Linked DNA regions of Drosophila melanogaster. The protein of the gene in region 3 interacts with the protein of the main gene of each other region in a biochemical or structural test. Each region holds a gene or a part of one and is shown on either strand. Other genes may lie near its edges.

Region 1 (7,716 bases), on a different chromosome or scaffold from region 3:
AGCTGCGCTTTACATACGAAGGAGAGAACAACAAGGAGGCTTTGGTGTCTTTTATGCTCAATCCAAATGCCAAGCCAACGCCAAAGCCCAAGGAACCCGAATGGTCGGCGGATACCAACTCGGAGATTGTCCATCTCACCTCGCAGGGTTTTGAGCCCGCTCTGAAGGACGAGAAGTCCGCCCTGGTCATGTTCTATGCACCCTGGTGCGGACACTGTAAGCGCATGAAACCGGAATACGAAAAGGCCGCTCTGGAGATGAAGCAGAAAAAGATTCCCGGCCTTTTGGCTGCGTTGGATGCAACGAAGGAGCCGTCAATCGCAGAGAAATACAAAGTCAAGGGCTATCCAACTGTTAAGTTTTTCTCGAATGGCGTCTTTAAGTTTGAAGTAAATGTACGCGAAGCATCGAAAATTGTTGAATTTATGAGAGATCCCAAGGAGCCCCCACCGCCTCCGCCACCCGAAAAGAGTTGGGAGGAGGAGGAGGACAGCAAGGAAGTCCTATTTCTGGATGACGACAACTTCAGTTCGACGCTGAAGAGGAAAAAGCATGCGCTGGTCATGTTCTATGCACCCTGTAAGTTTTGCCGCTTGATTGTTAAACATATTTAAAGCTCTACTAAAGACTAACCGTCTTCAGGGTGTGGACACTGTAAGCACACAAAACCGGAGTTTACAGCGGCTGCCACGGCCTTACAGGATGATCCTCGGATAGCGTTTGTCGCCATCGACTGCACAAAGCTTGCCGCGCTCTGCGCAAAGTATAACGTACGCGGATATCCCACCATTCTGTACTTCTCTTACCTCAAAACCAAGCTGGATTACAATGGCGGACGCACCAGCAAGGACTTTATCGCCTATATGAACAACCCGCCTACCTCAGCGGACCGCACAGAGCTGTGATACGCTGTTGCAAAGTATAACGATGCTTCTCCCACAACACTTTGCAATCTCACTTTTTGTATTACCATAAACTGTATTCGTTCCGTTCAGTTTACAATCAGCTTGAATGTCGTCTAGACTATCGAATATTTTATAGAATGTATGCGCATTTTGTAACTATATAGCATACTAATAAATTATGTTATAACTAATAGTATAATTTCATTTTTACTGCGCTTATCCCTCTATAATAAAATAATAAAATTTAATTAAAAATATAAATTAGTATGTTAAATACCATATCAGATTAGTGTAATCCTCTTAAGCCAATTTGATTTGTATACAGTGCACGATAAGAATAGCCGAAGTTCGGGTGAGAAATTGTAATTGAAAAAAGGTAATTCAAGATAATGCTTGACCAATTATTTGATAAGCACGAGTGTTACTATCTGGTGTAGATAATGTTATGCATGAATGAAAATTAATGCCGTAAAATATCAATAGTTATGCAAGACATTGCTTTTTTGTAGACTTCAGTCTCTGGGTGTCTATTTTCGTTTCTTTTATTGTACAATTAATTTCAATAATTTCTATTTGCGTTTAAAACAATTTCTAAACTTAAAATATTTTGGTTTAGCCATATAGCTAATATAGGTATATATTTATTTTTAAGTTTCTCATCAAAGTGGCACTCATGTTAAGAGCAAAACTTCCACCTATTGCACACTTGCTCTGATGTTCAATGGTTTCGATTTCTCTCGCCTGAATTTTAAAGCCGATCGAAGGGATGAACATAAGATGGAACTGGGCTTTCGGATGGTTTGATACGTGGCTCTGTTGGGCAGGGAGGTCTCATGGGAGCGGGAGCAGCCAGGTATATAATGGTAAAGGAGTTAACGACCTGCTTCGGGTTTACTATTGACCTTGCGCCGGCTCAAACTGCCCAACCAACTGCCGCGTTGCTCATTAGCCGTATATTCGTCATTGATAAGCGCGAATCCGTGAAACATGTCCTTCATCTTGATGGCCCGTGAGCAGGCGTAGTTCTTGGTGGCCACGTACATCTTGGTGAGGAACTCGGGCATTTGTTTCTGAGTAACCCAGGACTTAATATTCTGCGGTATGGGTATGCCCGGATCGTCGAAGTACGTGAGGACAAAGTGGAGGCCTGGCTCATGGAAACCGCGAAAGGGCTTGATGACCATCAGGCTCCAATAGTCAGTGACGCGAACTTTTCCAGACAACGCCGGATAGGTGTTGTGCGTGGCTCCGCGGTTGCAAATGAATATCAGCTTCTTGTTGTCGTCTTTTATGTAGCGGCGACAATAGACGTAGTCGCGATTGGCGAACAGTCGTGGCCACTGCATCTCCCAGTATATCAGATGCGAGTTGCTGCCCGGGACGGGATCCTCGCTGATGAGCTCAAGTCTTAGGGCCGTGTCGTCCCACTGGCGACGGTAATCCAAATCCGTTTGAACGTGGAGGAAGTCGTCCGCTGTGATGTCGTCGAATCGAGCATAAACCTGCAAACGGAAAGGCGGCATAAAAGTGAGCCCTAAAAAACTTTTAGATGGCCTCTTACCTTGTATGAGTATAAGGAGGAGCGCTCCTGCCGCCGCCAAATGCTGAATTCGTTTTTGCTAAAGTACGGCTCCCATTTTTGGTCGTCCTGGGCCTGAATGCGTACCGTTCCGGCCGGTGCATTGCGCACGTCCAGATCCAACGGTCGCAGACAATTGCTGATGCTGGTGTCCGGATCCGTCTCCGCCTCTTTGCTGGTGGACGGCTGGGATTGGCCCTTTTTGCAGCGCTGGTTGCCCAGCTGACAGTAGCAGTATTTCATCTTCTTGGCCTGGCAGCGGTCGCACAGCTGATTGTTGGGCAGGGCGTTGATAAACTCAATATCCCGGCGGCACAGATCAAAGTTGGACAAGGCCAGGCGCTCCTTGTTCCAATCGAAGCCATCGCTACCCATTCGCTTGATATTCAGCCCGACGAGACCCACTGCACTCATCACCATTCCCCGCAGCGGAGGCTGCAGCTCCCGGCGGTAGTAGGCGCGCCATAGCTGCTTCAGACCCTGAGTTCCATACACCGACTGGTAGAAACTGAACAACTGCTGAACGCGACGCGAGCGCTGGGCGAAAATCGACTCGCATTGGTAGCTCCAGGCACGCAGCGTTTCTCGGGACTGGTTCTTGATGGCCAGTACAAATCGATTGAACAGCATGCCGGCTAATTCAATTTGTCCGTCGGCCGCCCGCTTGCATAACAACCTACTCAAAAGTGCGGCGACTTCTTAATGCTCCTTCGCTATTACTGTGCCCCCGCACACTTGGCACATTTGTCGCCAGAAAACTTTGGGAATTTAGTACTTCTAGCCAGGACACACCCGATAGGTTTGCCGGAAGCGTTACTGCACGAGAGCTTGGTTAGGATCTGGGCGGACTTATCATGTTTGCCCGATTAGAAAAAACGTGCAACTTGCAATTTGTCTGCTGCTTCTGTTGTTATTCCGCTGTTGTTGTTCCTGTTGTTGTGCCGTTACAGGCAGCAGTGTTGGAAAATCGCAAACCGCCTGCTGAGAGGTGACAGCTACGATCAGTGATCACACTTTTCTGCAACACTGAAACACAAATAATATTAAATTCAACCAAACTTTTACTGTGTACAAATTTTTGACGTGAATCTGGTGAAGTGTGCCATAATTTATACCAATTTATTTTTGACACTGCGAATAAATTTACTTGACATGCTTTCTAATAACGCAGTTATCTCGTTTTTTTTTTATTTGTTAAAAAATCTTTTGGGTACTGCAAGTTTTTTATAGCCATTTTGAAACTTTAAATAAATTGGTTGTCTACTTTCTTACATGGCCAGGACACTGTGAATGCTCTTTGGCGTTAGCCAACACTATACTTGGGAAACTCGTGGTTGCGGCCGCATTGTTTTTGTTGCGCAGATTTTGATTCGATTTGATGTGTGAAACTGCGGTTGAGCCTGGAAGAAGCCTAAGAGTACCCAGGCAGGATGTCCATGCGGCGCCAGCGCATCAAGGCTCCGGCCAACCTGTCGCTTATCAAACGCAAGCCACGCAGGGAGGAGCTCCCAACGGCGAAAAAGGAGGATGAGGAGGAGGAGGCGGTGGTGGTGGAAGCAGAGGCTGAGTCCCCGCCCGTTGCATCGACCCCTGCTGCGGAATTGGAACTAGAGGCTGATGCAATCGCCTTCAAGATGCCCGCAAGCTCGGCTGGGCAGCTGGAAGAGGTATTCCACTCGGACCTCGAGGACAATGTCATTCAGATGGACTTGCAGAAGACCACCAATGGCTTCCCTATGTCGCCCAGCAAGGCTCAAGCCCGTCAGCGTGTGCGACCCACTCCGGTATTTGGCCAGCGACGCAACAGCTTCGTGGGCTCACCCATGGCCAGTGATTATGAGGGCGACTATCAGTCGCCAGCCACGCCCACGCGGCGAGAGCGCTATCTTAGCGGTTCTTCATCGGGAACTCCTTTGCAGCAGCAGGTGCACTCGCCTATGCCTCCGTCCCCCTATAAATACCTACCGCCCGCTAGTCCGGGCATGGGACGCATTCGCACCGAATCCACCTGTTCCACCTATTCCGAAGGAGGTAGCAAGCAGAGGAAGGGCGACGATAGGTCGCAAAGTCAAATTGGACAGCGGTTAAATGCCCGGCGAGACTTTGAAACCCGTTTCAATAAGGGTGTACCCGACAAGTCCACGTTCAAGATGATGGACATGATCTTCTACAATCCGGAGAACAATCCCATGGTGCCCAAACAGTCGGTGACGACCATCAAGGATGAGTCTGGTGGCGATGATTCCAAGCCCGCAGTCAGTCAACTATTGGAACCCAAGGGAGAGTCCACATCCGCTATGTTAGTGCCTCAGCTAAAGCTTGATGCCAATGGCGAGATGATCATTGATGAGAAAACATTGGAGATCGAAACCACGGCCGAGGTGGAGGCCCGCAAGGTGCTAGCCAACTCATCGTTAATCCTAATGGACGAGACTACGGGTGCGCCGCAGAGTTAATACATAAAAGTTGAATACTTAACGAATTTTATACTTTGCAGGAGATAATGGATTCTATAAACGCCACAAGCGCACGCCATACTGGACCTCCGATGAGACCGTCCGCTTCTACCGCAGCCTGCAGATCATTGGGACGGACTTCTCGCTGATGTGCCAAATGTTTCCAACACGTTCACGTCGGGATCTAAAGCTGAAGTACAAAAAGGAAGAGCGAACCAATGGGCAGCTCATAAACAAAGCACTCCTCTATCCTAAGGCCTTCAACATTCAGGAGCTCAAGGATCAACTGGAAGAGGAGGACCGCGAAAGGGAAGAAAATGATCGCAAGTGGAGGGAAATCGCACGAGCTCTTCCGGGAAACCCTAAGAAGGTAAATAATTTGTAGCTGACTGTAATCACCATTACATTTTTTAATTATATTTAGCGTTCCCGAGTACAGCAGCAAAGCAAGGCCTCAAGGGCACTAAACGATGGTGATGTTGTCTACGAAAACGAGCACGTAACGAGTACAAAGCTCGGCAAGCACGCCTGGGCCAAAAGGCGAAAGGAGTTGGAGACCGATGAGAACGACGGAAGTGCGCCGGCCAAACGTAAGCCAAAGGCTAAGCGACGATCTCCCAAGGTTTCAGTTCCAGCGGCAACGGAAAGCCTGTCTGATGTGGCGGCCATTAAGCAGGAAAAAACGATCAAAACCGAACAAACGAGTAGTCATTTGCCAACGGGGGGAGAACTGCAGGCTGAGCTCAATGGCCTCCTCATGGATGATCCGGTGGAATATGACGTAGATGTAAACAAGCCACGTGATAAAACTATTATCAATATGGATGATGGTACCCTAAGCTATGTCAGCGACGTCGAACCCGCCCCAGAGACGCCCAATCGAAAGGCAGAGACATATTTAATAAACTTCATTGAAGACCAAGATCATGAACTTATAACGCCGGATGACCCCATTCCGCCGTCCACTACCGAACCGGATATCGAACAAATTCTCGCCGAGCTTGCGGAAGGATCTCTGGCTCTCGTCTCGTCCTTGGATCCAGAGCACGAGGATCGTGTGCTCAACGAAATCTACATGCTGGACAAAAAAACGGGCGAGTTGTGCGAAACGCCTCTGAAAATACCAGAGCATATTGTTCAATGCATAATGAATGTTATGCAGCCAGAGGACTAACGACATTTTATATTTATATCTTAAGAGTATTTGTTAACAGTTATAATTTATTAAAGCATTTCGCTAGATGTATTTACAAAATTACTTTCTTGTTCCTCGCAAATTCAAAGGGAATTGCAAAAAATGCAAAAATGGGACTGACTTTCTTGGTTTCTTTAACTATTCCTAAAAAAAATTGTAATTAATATACAATTATAACAGATTTGTCAAAATAGTCTTATTTTATAAATAAAATAGGGTAGCAAGAAGGCTTTTAAGCATTAAAAGTGTTTGGTTATAGGTATCTACTCTAGACAGGATCATTTCGATTTCTTGCAATAACAAAAGCTTGTATAAAATGCAAAGATAGCCATTGCTTTTGTATAGAAAATTTAAATCAAATATATAAATATTTTTTGAATTTCCATTCATTTCAGAGTTGCCGTTCTCTAAAATTATTTTTCGCTTCGCAACACATATTTTCAGGCGCAGGGCTTTAGAGCACTGGACTTTTGACAGCTGTTGTTGTTGTTGCCTCGGCTGCGGTAGCAAATTAATACAATTTAACCAATATAGTAAAAAACGATGGCCCAAGTTCCCTTGGCAATCGTCTCGCACAAGCGCCAGGTGTGCAGCCTGTACAAGCGAGCACTGCGCAACTTAGAGTCGTGGTACGACCGACGGTGAGTGCACTCGGCGCAGAATTCCCAAATATTATATAATGAGCAAGTGCATCTTGGTTGTTTCTTAATGCCCATCAGCAATGTCTACCGCTACCGCGCTGTGCAGCTGCGTGCTCGCTTCGACGAAAACCGCTCCAAAGATCTGGGCGAGGGCATCCGCCTCCTAGCCTGTGGACAAAGGGAGCTTTTCGAGACAAGGCATTTCCAGCCCCGAAACTGTAAACAAATTGAACGTATGGTCATATGTCTGTGTATCTAACGTGTGTTATCGTTGTAGTTGCCAACAGTGCCGGTGGCTGTGCTTTCGAACGAGAGGTGATTCCGCCCGACTGGGTCCTGGACTACTGGCATCCCCTGGAGAAGGCCCAGTACCCCGAGTACTTTGCCAAGCGGGAGCAGCGCAAGAAGGAGTTTGTGACCTGGTGGGAGAAGCAGTACGGCAAGCCCGACCCCAAGGACCTGGGACACCACTAATCTTAGAGTACCGTAATCAAATCACATCCAATCTTTGTCTTTAAAAGTAAATCTATTGGAACTCACATTATGTGCTATTATAAATGTGTTGTACTGGAATTCAGTCGATCTTCCTTCTGCCAAAATAATTCATTGCCAATTTACAATAATAGTGTATACAATTGGTTATGCAGATCAATTCCCAGATTATAAACGCATTACATTTTAGGTTACAAACTTTGCGAGAAGTACATGTATATTTTCCTAAGGTAAGTCCAAAGAATGGAAAAAAAAATACCGTGATTCATGAACTAGCAGTAACAAAGCTTACAAAATTTTGTACTCGACATTTTATACGAATGATGGTATTTTCTTGCAAAAGGAGGTATGCATATGTTGGTCACAAAAACATTATTTAGCTGTGTTAATTTGGGTACAACTGAAATCTAAAGAAATACTGGGGCTTTCGACCAATGATCAGCGTGAT
Region 2 (6,429 bases), on a different chromosome or scaffold from region 3:
CGCAGGGCGAATCGCTGTCTGTTGGTTTGTAGAAAAATCGTTTTTAGTTACACACACTTAGCTTTACTACATGGTGTTTGAAAATCCCGAAACAGGACTGTTTTGACCGTGGGTGGCGTCTACGCATTTGTGCTGTCAAAGAGATCCGTTGAGAACCGGCGTTACGAGAGCATGCGAGTGCGTGAGCGCATGAGGAAGGCAAACCAAGGGGATTACGACTCAAGCGCAGCATCGGACAGGCGATTCGATTACTAAGCGGCAGCATCCAGTACCTAAAACCCATCAGTAACACACCCACACCCACACAATGGCATTGCCCCAGATCAGCACCGCAGACCAGGCCAAGCTGCAGCTGATGCAGGAAATGGAGATCGAAATGATGTCCGATTTATATAACCGCATGACGAACGCTTGCCACAAAAAGTGCATTCCGCCGCGCTACTCCGAGTCGGAGTTGGGTGAGTACCATAGCCATATAGAATGCTGTATCTAGTTCGCAGCTCTTTCTATGACAATCACTTCAGGTTTCTCTTTGATTCGATTGATGAAATTTAAATAGAAATCTTGAAACTTGTACCACAATTCTACACTTGTAATTTTAATGCTTTCCGCACCCTACAGGCAAAGGCGAGATGGTGTGCATCGATCGCTGTGTGGCCAAATATCTGGACATTCACGAGAAGATCGGCAAGAAGCTGACGGCCATGTCCATGCAGGACGAGGAGCTGATGAAGAAGATGTCTAGTTAACCTGGCACCCATTAACCCACATTTCCGCTTAACCAATGTGCATTTTTGAAGCGCTACGATTGTTAGAGGTACATGTACAAAACACCCCGTTGTAGAGAATAAACCACAGATTTATGTGTGCTACATAATATCAGACCTCGTTGACACAGATTAATGCATTCAAAAGGTGGTGACAAAGCGCGACATTTCCGGCAGCATGACACTCAGATCCTCGATGTTGTTCTCCAGCGCACTCTCGTCCGTTGTGTCCAGTTCGCTGGTCCGCACGCTGTTCGCCCAGTCGGAGGAGTCTAGATCCTGTCCTGCTCCTCGCGCCTGATCCTCCTGCTGTTCCTGGGCGTTGAGGCTAGCTCGACTGGCGAGACCATCGCAAATATTGGCGGGATCTGACGGCAGCTCCACATAAAGGTTCGTCTGGCGCTGTAAAATTCAGAGAAATTCAACAAAAAGAAACACAAAGGTTAATTTGGAGCTTCACCAAAGCCATTAGCTGTAGATCGCGGTGCAGGCTGATGGGATTCTTGGACAGGTTGAGCATGTGAAGAGTCCGCAACTCCTCCAGTTGTGACCGCGTGGGCATCTCGTCAATACAATTTTCGTTGAGAAAAGCAAACCGCAGCTTCTGCATGGCCATCAGCATCCTGGGCAGCCGTCGCAATCGATTCCCCTTAAGATTCAGATGCACCAAATTTCCCAGCAACGCCATGGTCAGTGGCACTTCGCTGAGTTCGCAGCCCTCGGCTGTTAGCCAACGCAGGGAGGACAGAGCGCCTATGGCATCGGGCAACTTCTTCAAGGGATTTCCCCGTACGCCCAGCGTCTCGAGGTGTTCACAGTTACGAATTTCGTTGGGCAGCTCCAGGAGCCCAGTATTATTGCACCAGAACGTCTCCAGCTGAGTGAGGTATCCCAGTTCGGGTGGCAAACTACTAATGTTATTGCAGCTGATGTTGAGAAACTTCAGCCGGACCAAACGACAGATGCAGAGCGGGAATTCGTCCAGTTTATTGTAGTCCAACGTGAGGACCTGAAGTCGCATCAAACTACCAATGGAGGATGGAATCTGTGAGTCAAGGGATTGTGAGTCTATTATTTCATTGGCTATCTTGTGCACCAGGTGCCACCTTTGTTAGCTTGTTTTGGTTGAGGAACAGCTTCATCAGCGTCTCGCACTTCTCTATGATGCCCGGAACGTCGGAGATTTGGTAGTGGGACAGATTCAGGGAGAATGCCTTTTTGTATATGGCATCCTCGCAATTGGCCAGCACGTAGTTGTTGCGGAAAAACTGACAAACCTTCTCCATGTCGCCCTTATTAAGTGTTTACTTCTGCAGCACTTGAATTTGGTTGTCTTGGGTTCCAAACTATTTCACACTCTTTGGAAAACCTACTCTGTTTTTGGCGCTAGTAGCTTAGTTTTCAGGCCTTGTCTTTTGTAGTTTCGAACTGTCGCCCGATTTGCGCGTTTTTTCGTTTGTTTTGAGTGCATGTTATATAACGATTCTCGGAGTCTATATATGCACAAAAATCTCTATTTGCTGCACTCTCTTTTGCCTGCCTTCTCTTCCCAAGCTGATGAACTAAAATTAAAAATTTCATTTCCTGGGTAAAGGCATGCGCAAAATGCTAGATATTGGCAATAGGGTAGTTCTATTTTAAAATTGGTACATTGTCGCTTGTAATGTTTGTCGCACAAGGAAAGCTCAACATTTGACATTACCCATTCTCAGCTGCTAATTGGCAAAAAGCTCGTCTTTCTATCGGTTTATATAAATAGATTGTAAATTACCGAGCCGCTCTCAGTTGAAATTGAGCTCAGTGACTGGAAACTGCATCATGAGATCGTGTACTTTACTTGTTTTCATAGTGAGCACGCTGTTGTTTGCCGGTAAGTCAAGTGTGGGAACCACTAGAACCGCCACATCCATTCAACACTCTCTCTCTATTTTTCTCCAGTGACAAATGCGCAGCAGAATTATGATGGAAGAAATGGTCCCCATGAGTTCGGCACACCTGGAAACGGCATTTACATACGGGGTCAGAACGAAGGACCCTACACAGTGCCCGAAATGGGAGGAACGTTCCAAAACTCACCCTCAAGTGGGCAGCATTCCTACACCGATGAGCACGGAAATACTTACACCCATTCCTCAACGGCAACTGTCACAAGTTTGGCCTATTCAACCTTCGGTTTCAGCATGGGCGGCGTTCTCATTTTTCTAATTAGTTTAATAACCATTTAATTGCACTTTCCAAGTGCAAAAGTTCCAATTAATTAATTTTTAACACATCGTTTTTCAGTTCACGCCCACGAAAATCTATTGCTGAAACTGCATAGATGAGAATAACCATTTTCCTTCTAAGTATTATGCACTATTATTTATTCGCTATTTCTTTTGTTCACCTTATACACAAATTATTTAGCTATTAAACAGAAGTACAACAAAGTATACTTGATTCTTTTGAAAAGTGCGCCATTTTAGTTATCGATTGGCAACAACGTAAGGGAGAGATTTAACGTATAAGAAATATTTGAAACGTTGAAGTGTGATTTTTAACTAAACATTAAAATACAATCAAAGATAATTATTGTTATAATTATTTTCATACATATTTTCAATGAAATACTTAAATGCTAAGAACGTAACGATAAACGTAAGACCCAGCCAGCTATCGATAGTTGCGGCAAAATGCAGCGCTGACTTTGCCATTCTCACAAAACGAGCCACAGGTACAACGACGAACGCGGTTGCATTACATTATTATTATTATTACTATTAAATTAATTTCCCGCTCTGTGGGTATGCAATTAAAACCCAAAGTTGAGCCCGTTCAGCAATCTTGAATTGAGTCACTGAAAAATTCACCGGAGTCCACAATAAACCATCTGTAAGATGGACCAAATGCTAAGCCCCAACTTCTCGATTCCGAGCATCGGAACGCCGCTCCACCAGATGGAAGCGGACCAGCAGATAGTGGCCAATCCTGTGTACCATCCTCCGGCTGTATCGCAGCCGGATTCGTTGATGCCGGCACCCGGTTCCAGTTCCGTGCAGCACCAGCAGCAGCAACAGCAGTCGGACGCCAGTGGGGGATCAGGTCTCTTTGGCCACGAACCATCGCTCCCGCTGGCGCACAAACAAATGCAGAGTTACCAGCCATCGGCCTCCTATCAGCAGCAGCAGCAGCAACAGCAGCTCCAGAGTCAGGCGCCCGGCGGCGGTGGGAGCACTCCGCAGTCCATGATGCAGCCGCAGACGCCGCAGAGCATGATGGCCCACATGATGCCCATGAGTGAGCGGAGTGTGGGCGGTTCGGGGGCCGGAGGTGGCGGAGATGCCCTGAGCAACATCCACCAGACGATGGGCCCCTCCACGCCGATGACACCAGCCACACCAGGTTCCGCTGATCCCGGTATTGTGCCACAACTTCAGAACATCGTGTCCACGGTTAATCTGTGCTGCAAACTGGACCTCAAGAAAATAGCATTGCATGCGAGAAACGCCGAGTACAATCCTAAGCGATTTGCGGCTGTGATTATGCGAATCCGAGAGCCCCGGACCACCGCCCTTATTTTCAGCTCCGGCAAGATGGTGTGCACAGGGGCAAAGAGTGAGGACGACTCCAGACTGGCAGCGAGAAAGTATGCGCGCATCATCCAAAAGCTCGGTTTCCCTGTAAGACAAGACTTTACATTTCCTTTCTCTTCCCGGCGAATCTCTAACGCTTTCTCTCCCGCAGGCAAAGTTCCTCGACTTTAAGATTCAAAACATGGTCGGCTCCTGCGATGTCAAGTTCCCCATACGCTTGGAAGGCCTGGTGCTGACCCATTGCAACTTCAGCAGCTACGAGCCTGAGCTATTTCCCGGCTTAATCTATCGTATGGTGCGACCTCGAATCGTGCTCCTCATCTTCGTGTCCGGAAAGGTGGTGCTCACTGGAGCAAAGGTGCGGCAGGAGATCTACGATGCCTTCGACAAGATATTCCCCATTTTAAAGAAGTTCAAGAAGCAGTCATAAATAGGATAGCGCTTTATTAGTTCTGTACGTGTACGTTTTAAGGTCGGTAGTTCTGGAAGTCTGATCATATGAGTGGGAGCAGCCTGGCGAGCAGCTCCGATCGAGAATAAACCACAAAGTAATTTAGCTGTACGGACAGGCTTTTATTATTATTTTTTTTCCGTTAATTACTATTCGTAAAAATTTAGACAAGGACTATGAACGCGAATGAGGTTCCTACAGGCACTGGGCCATCAGGGCGCCCACGTTGTCGAACTCGATCTTCTCCGTAATGTTCTTCGTCTTGATTTTGTCGTCCTGCATGGCCACGATGACGAGTCCCTGGCCCTGGTTCTTCCAGCCATTGCGCTTGATCCAGCTCTCCAGCGTCGAGTCCTCGATGCCGCCGAGCAGCTCCTTAAGCAGGTCCTTGCGAATTGTCTGGAATGTGGTGCCCACCACATGCGAGACGAACTTGCGAATTGAATCGTGGAAGCCGGTGATGTGGCGGAACATGTTGCGGTTCACCTCGGCCCGCTGCCAGAAGAGGGTGAAGTCCGCCCGCTCCAGTATGTCGGCGAGGTCGATGATTGTCTGCACATTCTCGTCCTTCATCTGCTGGGGCAGCAGCAGGCACTTGGCCATCACGAAATCCGTGTGCGGCAGGCTGGTCAGTGACTTCAGCAGAATGGTGTACGTGATGTCGAAGTTCAGCATGTGCGGGTTGAACTGGTACAGTTTCAGCACGGCCAGGTTGGCCTCCAGGTCGTAGGTGTTGTTCTTAGCCTGATCCTGCACATAGGACTCCAGTGTTTTCAGATGATCTGGGTTGTAGCTGCGGCAAAAGCGAGGTTATGTTTTTACTAAGCATCATAACTGAGTGAATTTGTGCAGTTCTTACCGCTCGATGCAGCCCAGCATCTCCTGGATGGTCTGGCTCTGGCCGTTTTCCATTTTCACGAGGTGCGACATTTTCTACGGCTAATTTGTATGAAATTCGCAAGTTGACGTCGTGTTTTTTATTTTAATAAAGAAAGATTCGGTGTGACCGCAGTGCTGAACTCGCATTTGCCGATGCAAACAAACGGAATGCGGTCACATTGTGTGGGAATCTGCAAGGGGTATTCCTGAATTCCATTTCAAAATTCCCGTTACGCGAAGAAAATATTCGAATTTACAAACTAGTTTATTTTAAAGTTCGAATAACTCGCATTTCACTTTTGCTGGGTATTTAACCACTTTACTTACCTTACGTCTTGGGTTGCTCAAACATTCTGAAATCTTATAGAATCTCAAAAATTGTTTTTCTGCGCAACAAATAAAGTCCAATAAATAAAACACATATTTAAGTGGAAGTTTAATGATTTTAATACATATACACGTATGTATCTCATGTTTAAGGGAAGTTCCGTTCCGTTTTGCTTAACCTGGAAGTTCATGTGGAAGTGCATGTCTTGTGTAATCTACATGTTTTGTACAAAAGTATGTACACAATGGTATAAAAAGCAACTTAGTTGTAACCGGGATCGGAGGACTATGTCTTGTCCGCCTCGGCGACGCCGTTTTTCCCAGCCTCCGCCAGTTGCGCCTGGCGTTGCTCCTCCTCCAGCTCCAAACGCTCCACCTTTTTGATTTTGCTCAATTTCTCTGTAAGTGCAACATGAATGGGTAATGAGTGGCT
Region 3 (7,780 bases):
TTCCAAAGGACTGTTGGGTCCTTTCAACATTACAACGGTCTTGCACTTTTCCAGCGGAGGCGGTGGTAGATCGTGGTCTTGCGGCAGCTGACAGGATCGCAGATATTCCTCATTGATCTGTTGACGCTGCGCCGTGCTCAAGTTCCGGGCAGATTCTTGACGTCGCAAACGGAAATCATGATCTTTTCTAGACATATAATCTTCGTCGGATCGACGGCACAACATAAGCTCTACTAGCTTATCGTTGATTATGCCATCTCTCATATGAATGAGAACAGCTGCTACATTATTGAAAAGCGAATACACCTCAATATCGATTAGACCGCATTGGGCCACTGTCTTGAGCATATCATTAGCCGCGGTGGACCACCTATTGTTTCCACTGACCACTGAAGAGGGCTGAACCATTGCCAGCCTGCACTCAAAAACACGTGGCGGAAGGTCGCCGTACTGTTCAGTTAGCTCTCTCGGCATCAAACGCATTAGCTGCATGGGCAGCAAAGTGCAATTACCATAGTCGATGAAGCGAACGTAGAACATTGGTTGGCGATTGCTCTGATTCTCTGGCCGGATCACTGTGGCGCGCTGGAAATAACTATCGCGTTTGGCCAACACCATCATGCCCTTTGCGATGGCACTCGCGTTAGTTACGTAATTTCTTAGTTGCTGTGGAGCATTGAAAATTTCAGACATATTTCGAATGCACTCTTCAAAAGATTGGGGTTGAAAAAAGAACTTGCCACAGTTGACGATCTGTAAGATAGGAAAAATAAAAAAAATACTTTGAAATTCTCTAGATTTGTGTGGTGCAGCAGCTTACGCAAGTAATCGACCCTGAAATAGTTTTGTCAAAGACAGATGGCAGCGCAAGAAGCTCGACGTTTAAAGGCTTTGTGGGTGGAATCCAACGGCCCTCAATCACATCTCCAATCCCTCGCTGCTGTACGTAGCTCATAAATGCACTCGGACTGTAAATGATTAAACATAAGCTTCATAATCGATAGTAAAAGCCTTGATAACTCACTTCATTATGTGGATTGGCCGTTCGACACGATTTTGTCGCATCATAACTGCCTTGTACACCTCACTTTGAACTCTGCCCGACACAGGAACATACTTAGATGAACCTTCAATCCAGTCATCCTGTTTGAAAGTGACAAAGACCTTTTGCGAACCCTCTTGAAAAGTAACGTCCATGTTTTCCGGCGGAATCCTGACCTCCTGAAATAGCTCCTTAATGCGCCTAGTGTACAACTCGCCCATGTAGGCAGGCTTAAAATTGGTAAAATATACGGTGCGGCAGGGATCGTGGCCCGATATTGTCTGGTATATATTGCGATCTGTGTCTGCACACGACTCTTTGGAACGCGTAAAGTAGTTTGGGTAGAAGGCACCTGCAATGATCACTTTGAGCATGATCGCTTTTTCACGATCGTCCATCATTTGGTTAGGATTAACAGGAAACGGAATCAGACCGAGATGCGTGCATCGCACACGCAGTTCCTGCACCAACAAGTGTATCTCCTTAAGTGACCGCAAGGAGACGTGGAAACGTTTGGCCCAACGGATAGCAGACTCCTGGTCGTGACCATTTTCCACAATGTTCAAATATGTCTGCCGAAGAAACAAGTTATTACGCTATTAGTAATGCATCGCATAACTTACCAGATACACGCGCCAAATGGCCACCAAGTCGGAGCCAGATCCATCGGAGAAGATATAGTGCATCCAAAATGAATCGCCTAATTGAGACCTACCACCTTCGTGCGCAAACAAGCCAGGCGTCGATAAGCCAGCAGCTACAACATATTTAAAAAAAAAATCATTAATGCAAGACAAAGAATATTCCCCCCGTTATCCTAAAGCTTAACTACTGTTGCCCGCTTACCTATAATAATAGCTTCTTCGAGCATGTTAAAAATATAACCCAATATGATAAGCCGGGACTGACGTGTGTCCAACGGCAGCCGAGACATGATTGTGCCCCAGTAGGTAAGATCGCCATCCAACGGGTCGTAGATGCCGTCTACTGTTAAGTACAGAGCACCCACCTCTTTCAGAAGCAATATTGTATTGTGTATGTCCGACAGATTCGGCGGAGATAGAGCCAATGCCAAGATTTCCACCGGTGATCCCATATTCAGCACTTTGGCCTTGAGCACCGAGTTTTGCAAGGGCAAGCGCAACATTTCTGGTATTCCAAACTCGGGCATTTCCCTCTGATAGAAGTGTTTATTAACCATACGGTAAACGCGTCCACTACGAAGACGACCAACGCGGCCGGCACGCTGACGACAATTGGCTTTGGACGCCCAGGTTAAGCGGAGCGAAGAGAAGCTGCTAGCCGTATCGGTTACCTTTACTTTGGCAAGACAAAAGTCAATAACGTATGAGACATCTGGCACCGTGATGGAGCTCTCAGCAATGTTTGTGGTCAGAATGATCTTGCGGAAACCGGGAGGCGGGGGATTGAAGACATCCCGTTGGTTTTCCGGTGTCATTAACGAAAAACAGCGAACAATAGAGACCTTAATGTTGGGGCTGCAATTAAACAATAAAGATTGGAAATTATAATGATACAATTTTAGCTACTTCAAAATTTGTACAGTGAGCAATTCTCACGGATAACAATGCTTACTCGTTTTCCAGCATACAAGTAAGATTTTCTGCCATCGTGTCGATTTCGTAGATGCCTGGCAGAAAGATGAGCACAGCTCCATAGCGCAGGGCCTCGTCATAGCTCTGCCGCGACTGGATTGCAGCCTTCCGTTCCATGTTGTCAATAATCACTATGATCTTTACCGCTGCCCTGTAACCGTGTTTGTTGATTTCTGGCACCTGCTGGTGTCCCACATCTTCCTCATTCCAAATAATGCTGCCGAGCTGGTCACGGTAGAACTTCTCGATCGAGTGCTTACGTCGATGATTGGTGGTGATCACTGGCGGAATTGAGTTAGTGGTGGTAAAGTAGTCGGACAGTTCCTTGGCATCGATGGTGGCCGACATCAGGATAATCTTTACATGCCGCGAGTTCGTGGCCAGCAAGCGACGCACCACGATCAGAAGAAAATCCATGTTCTGGTCTCTTTCATGCACCTCGTCCAGCACAATGTGGGTGTAGTGGGTCAACGTCTTGTTGTTAATCAAATTGTTCAGCAGCACCCCGGTGGTGCAGTACAACAGACGAGTGTCCTCCAAAGAGTTCGGGCGGTGCAGGCCCACCTGGAAGCTGCACACCGTGTTCTGCTGCCACTCGCGCTCCTGGCAAACTCTATTCGCTATGGAGATGGCAGCTATGCGCCGGGGTTGTGTCACCACAATGTTGCAGTATTTACCGCTTTTATAGGCCTCATCCAAAATGTATTGGGGCACCTGTAAGAATAATTGATTGAATACTAATAATAATTATAAGAAAATATCTAAATATTTACAAAGCAGAACAAAAATGTAATTGTATTTTTTACACATTTTTCAAACAGTTTTTATAGTTTTGCGCTTTTTTTTTGAAAATAGCTAAGCAGTTATGAACACTACATATTTATCGATGAACTCCCCGGCTAGTGTTGTAAAAGCTTATTCCCGGCGAATGTTATTGTTTATATTTTGAGGCTCTTTTGAATGAGAGATGCGCATATATTTCGCGTAATTAAGATTCAGAATGGAGCTGAATATCTTTGACGACTGCTGGGAGCTGGTGCAACGATTTCAGCGATTGGTTAATGATGGCGAAAACTGCGAGTTCGAGGTGTTCTGCCGGTGCTGGCGAGAACTGCAGCTGCAGCACCTCTTCACTGCCCAGACGAACCACACAGAGGTGATAGCCACCACACTGGCGGCCCTGCATGTGGCCAAGCGACTGTCGTGCTCCCGACGCACCACCGGGGACGTTTTCCCGGCATCTCGCGCTCAAAGGATCGGAGGTTTCTTTCTGCTCTACGTAATCTACTACAAGCAGCCCACGCACAACTTTATTAAGATCGAGGTCTCACCGCGCACTTGGCAAGAACTAACAGACTACGCTCTAGATCTGCGCAAGGATAGTCCGGAGCGGAAGGACACTCATCAGATCGCCTACATGCTGTGGCGCCTGACCCAGGAGCAGGCCTTCCGCTTCACCGCGCTCGACTATTGCCAGGGGTTGGACAATCTGGTGGACTACGACCGTGTGGAGACCGTAGCGGGTGCCAAGGAACAGAGGCAGAGTGCCTTGATGCAGAAGCAACAGCGTGCGAACGGCGTCAGTCTCACATACGAACTGGAGGGTCTGCGAGCACTGGACCAGGCAAGCCAGCCATTGTGTGAACTGGAAGCGGCATACAATGCCCAAAAGAAGCAATTGGCGGCTGGTCATGAGCACGCTTTGCCGCCCTCTCAAATATTCGGCCATTTGCGAGAAGTCTTTGCCGATATCCAAAGTGTTCTAGGAGCTAGAAAGAGTACTCCAGATGAGAATTGTACCACAACATCTACAGGCAACCAGTTGGAAGTGCGCCAGAGGGTGCGGAACAAGGCCATGTACGGCGTCGAGGAACGGGAGCCGCAAAACCAGGCGGATGAACTAGAAGTGCAGCTGGAGGTCAACGAGACTTATCAACGCCGCATGTCCTCGGCCACCGTTTTTCAGAGGGAACTTCCAGCAGACGTGCAGCAAGAGTATGAGATGATTGAGTTTAGTGACGACGAGGAAATGGAAGTGGGTGAAAGCGAGGAGGTCACGGAAGAAGAACTCAAAGCTATTTTGGATACTTGAGTTAGTTTATAAAACTTTTACATAATTAAATAACTAGCATTTTTGCGCGATGTGATCTTGTTTATCTGTTGCACATAAAATATTCATTGTATTTAAGTATGTAGGATAGGATATATAACTATATAGGATATAAGTTTCCTAGGCTTTGCTATTCTTATATAAAGAGTTGAAAAGTATATTGAAGATTATTATTTATTATATAATATTAAATACTCTCGACTAGTTTGGATTTGAATTTCAAAAGTCGAGGATAAAAGGTTTAATTATAATTCGCTTGCGTTGGCTTTATTAAAATATAGACTTAATAAAAAAGTTAGGATTTTATTTAAGTTTTGCTCACCTGCGTGGTCTTGCCACATCCTGTTTCGCCCTTAATAATGACTACCGGATGAGCATTGATGGCCGCCAATATTTCCTCGCGCTTGGCGTAGATGGACAAGTTCTTGTCGCGATTCAGATTGAATCTGAACTTCTTGTAGTACTCGTCATCCCGGCGAATTTCGGTCTCTTCCCCCTCATCGTCGGTGTCCAAATCGTCCAGCGTTCGAATGCGTTTGCCTTGAGGCTGTTCGTTGAGCAGCGTCTGGATCGAATTACACATAAACAAACAGAAGTGCTGACGCAAGCTTCCAGTTCTCACCCCGTTCAGGAGACACTTTTCCTTGGCGACGATTTTGCTGACATAGTCGGTGCCGATCAACTCGCGGTTGGGCACTTCGGATGATTTGAACTTCGTGGCCATTAGCCTCGGATCGCTGCTGATGTAGCCTTGCGGGGCGGCGGCCACGCGCTTCAACTCCTTCGAGAAGTCAAAGAAATCCATAACCTCCTGATCCATTTTCCGACATAAACAATGAAAAATTTCACAATTCCGCGTAGCGGGAAAAGTTAAACTGTAAATTGTAGTGGTGGGGATTTTCAAAGTCAATGTTGAAAAGTGTAAAAGTGCGAATTTATATCGATAGTGCCATTATCGAAGCTTTAAGGTTTTTATTAGGGGTATTCGTATAAAAAAAATGTTTTCTTTTTTTTCTCACAGTCTTTCTGGATTATTTGTTAATATTATTTATTATTTTTACACGAATATTTAATTCTTTGTTACATTATTTATATTTTATATCTCATATTTTATTTTTGGTTTATGTCATTAAGAAACTACGATATATTTGAATACGATATTTGAGCATTGAATTTATGTGGGTAATCGAAAGAAACCCAGCTCTAATTTGTTCGGGCAAATTCAATAGCAAAACAACTTCTTTGGCAATTTTAGTTTAATTTGGTCGCAAAAATGTCGCTAACTATGCGAATTTTCACCGCATCGCGCAACGGTAGGTGGCGACCCATCCCCTCACATCCGTTGTTTTCCGGGAAATTTCCCATTTTCGTGGAAATCGCGGCGAGTGAGGTTATGTAAGCTTATGTCATACCAAAACAAAAGTCTAAACTCGCTTAATTCAGTATAACTTTTCGACTTAAGCATGTTATTTAATGGTAAAATGTTCTCCCCACAGGACAGCGCCTGTTTGGCAGCCATGGAGCCCGGCTGCTGGCCGCCCAGCGAGCAGAACCCAAAGATATCGTCGAGGTTCCCAAGGGCTATGTGTATGTAAACAACAAGGAACTGAGCATGGAGTTTGCCGACATCACGGACCGTGCTGCATCCACCATGTTCTTCGGTGAACTCTTACGTGGATTTGCCGTCACCCTGGCGCACATCTTCAAGGAACCGGCCACTATCAACTATCCCTTTGAAAAGGGACCACTGAGCCCGCGATTCCGCGGAGAACATGCCCTTCGTCGTTATCCCAGTGGAGAGGAGCGCTGCATCGCTTGCAAGCTATGCGAGGCTATTTGCCCCGCACAGGCGATCACCATCGAAGCGGAGGAGCGCGCGGATGGCAGCAGACGTACCACACGCTACGATATCGACATGACCAAGTGCATCTACTGCGGATTCTGTCAGGTGAGGAGGAGCAAAGTGGCGCCACAATTTACTAGAAACTAATTGCATCTTTTTGTCCCCCCGCGTAGGAAGCCTGTCCCGTGGACGCCATCGTCGAGGGACCCAACTTCGAGTTCTCCACGGAGACGCACGAGGAGCTGCTGTACAACAAGGAGAAGCTTCTCTGCAACGGCGACAAGTGGGAGTCCGAGATTGCCTCTAACTTGCAGGCCGACCATCTCTATCGTTAAAGTTGCTTGTACCCCTAGAATTCCTTGTTTAGAACGATTTTCCAATTAAAGATCGTTGCTGTGGCTTCGTCTTAAGCGAAAGTCAGTTGTATTTTTTTTAATTACTCAACTGGCCTAATAAATATAAATTATTTATATTCAAAGAGTTCCACGTTGTATTCGACAGATGACAAAGTTTATTTAATTAACAGGCCAATAGAAAGCATTTTTTCCAATGACGGAGCGACTACAAATAAATGAAACTTAGTTAATACTTTACTATTCCGATTTTGATTACACAAATTATAGGCAATAACTTCCATTTGCTGGTCAGTTATTAGAAACAGATATTATTTATGAAAGTTACTTGCAGTTTTATCCACGTTAATTTTGTAAAAAGAATTTACATAAATTAATTAAAACAGAAAGGCTTACAAATTCAAATAATTTATTTAGTGGTTAATGAATTTAATTAATTGTGACACGTTGGCAGTGATACTGCAAATTAGGACCACGCTGCGAGTAAAACTTAATTGAAGGGTATTTTTACCCGTCGTAGAAGCAAAACAAGATACCAGATATTGTGGATAGCTGTTTATTGTCCAGGTCCAGCCAGACTCTTCTCCATGAACTTTTTCTTCGCGAAGCAGGTCCACCATTTATTGGGCTTGCCATCCTCGGTGTTGAAGACCTTCTCCAGTACCCGGTTGCCGGTTTCGTGGCGCAGCTGCAGCAGGTACTGGCGCATCAGATCCGCATCCTGGGCCGTTTGCGGCTTGGCATAGACGGCGTTCAATGGGAAGCCAGCATCGCCGGGAATGTCGAACTTGGAGATGGCCAGGCTGTACATGTCCT

Evidence for each region. The genes of interacting proteins can lie anywhere in the genome.
Region 1: the proteins of Pbp45 (region 3) and Bdp1 form a complex in vitro, tested with the Drosophila melanogaster proteins (one study listed by BioGRID).
Region 2: the proteins of Pbp45 (region 3) and Tbp form a complex in vitro, tested with the Drosophila melanogaster proteins (one study listed by BioGRID).

What each region holds. Positions count from the first base shown.
Region 1 is NT_033779.5:13,369,902-13,377,617, reverse strand, and holds Bdp1 (B double prime 1), read left to right. Parts: upstream 1-3,793; 5' UTR 3,794-3,914; coding exon 3,915-4,923; intron 4,924-4,981; coding exon 4,982-5,310; intron 5,311-5,364; coding exon 5,365-6,114; 3' UTR 6,115-6,191; downstream 6,192-7,716. Other genes in the region: CG9302 (uncharacterized protein), read left to right, coding at 1-579, 643-905; CG6565 (uncharacterized protein), read right to left, coding at 1,778-2,407, 2,467-3,114; ND-B22 (NADH dehydrogenase (ubiquinone) B22 subunit), read left to right, coding at 6,679-6,776, 6,855-6,994, 7,054-7,250.
Region 2 is NT_033778.4:21,684,667-21,691,095, reverse strand, and holds Tbp (TATA binding protein), read left to right. Parts: upstream 1-3,453; 5' UTR 3,454-3,643; coding exon 3,644-4,426; intron 4,427-4,490; coding exon 4,491-4,769; 3' UTR 4,770-4,904; downstream 4,905-6,429. Other genes in the region: CG42497 (uncharacterized protein), read left to right, coding at 1-24, 96-255; Tim10 (translocase of inner membrane 10), read left to right, coding at 308-458, 622-749; CG10307 (uncharacterized protein), read right to left, coding at 909-1,169, 1,228-1,812, 1,874-2,053; BaraC (baramicin C), read left to right, coding at 2,586-2,637, 2,706-2,992; eIF3k (eukaryotic translation initiation factor 3 subunit k), read right to left, coding at 4,986-5,583, 5,650-5,720; stum (stumble), read right to left, coding at 6,283-6,395. UniProt on the Drosophila melanogaster protein: General transcription factor that functions at the core of the DNA-binding multiprotein factor TFIID.
Region 3 is NT_033777.3:15,835,291-15,843,070, reverse strand, and holds Pbp45 (PSEA-binding protein 45kD), read left to right. Parts: upstream 1-3,555; 5' UTR 3,556-3,658; coding exon 3,659-4,750; 3' UTR 4,751-4,925; downstream 4,926-7,780. Other genes in the region: spn-E (spindle E), read right to left, coding at 1-753, 821-968, 1,025-1,614, 1,666-1,799, 1,889-2,541, 2,639-3,372, 5,091-5,333, 5,391-5,588; ND-23 (NADH dehydrogenase (ubiquinone) 23 kDa subunit), read left to right, coding at 6,042-6,081, 6,265-6,716, 6,785-6,946; Arpc3A (Actin-related protein 2/3 complex, subunit 3A), read right to left, coding at 7,521-7,780.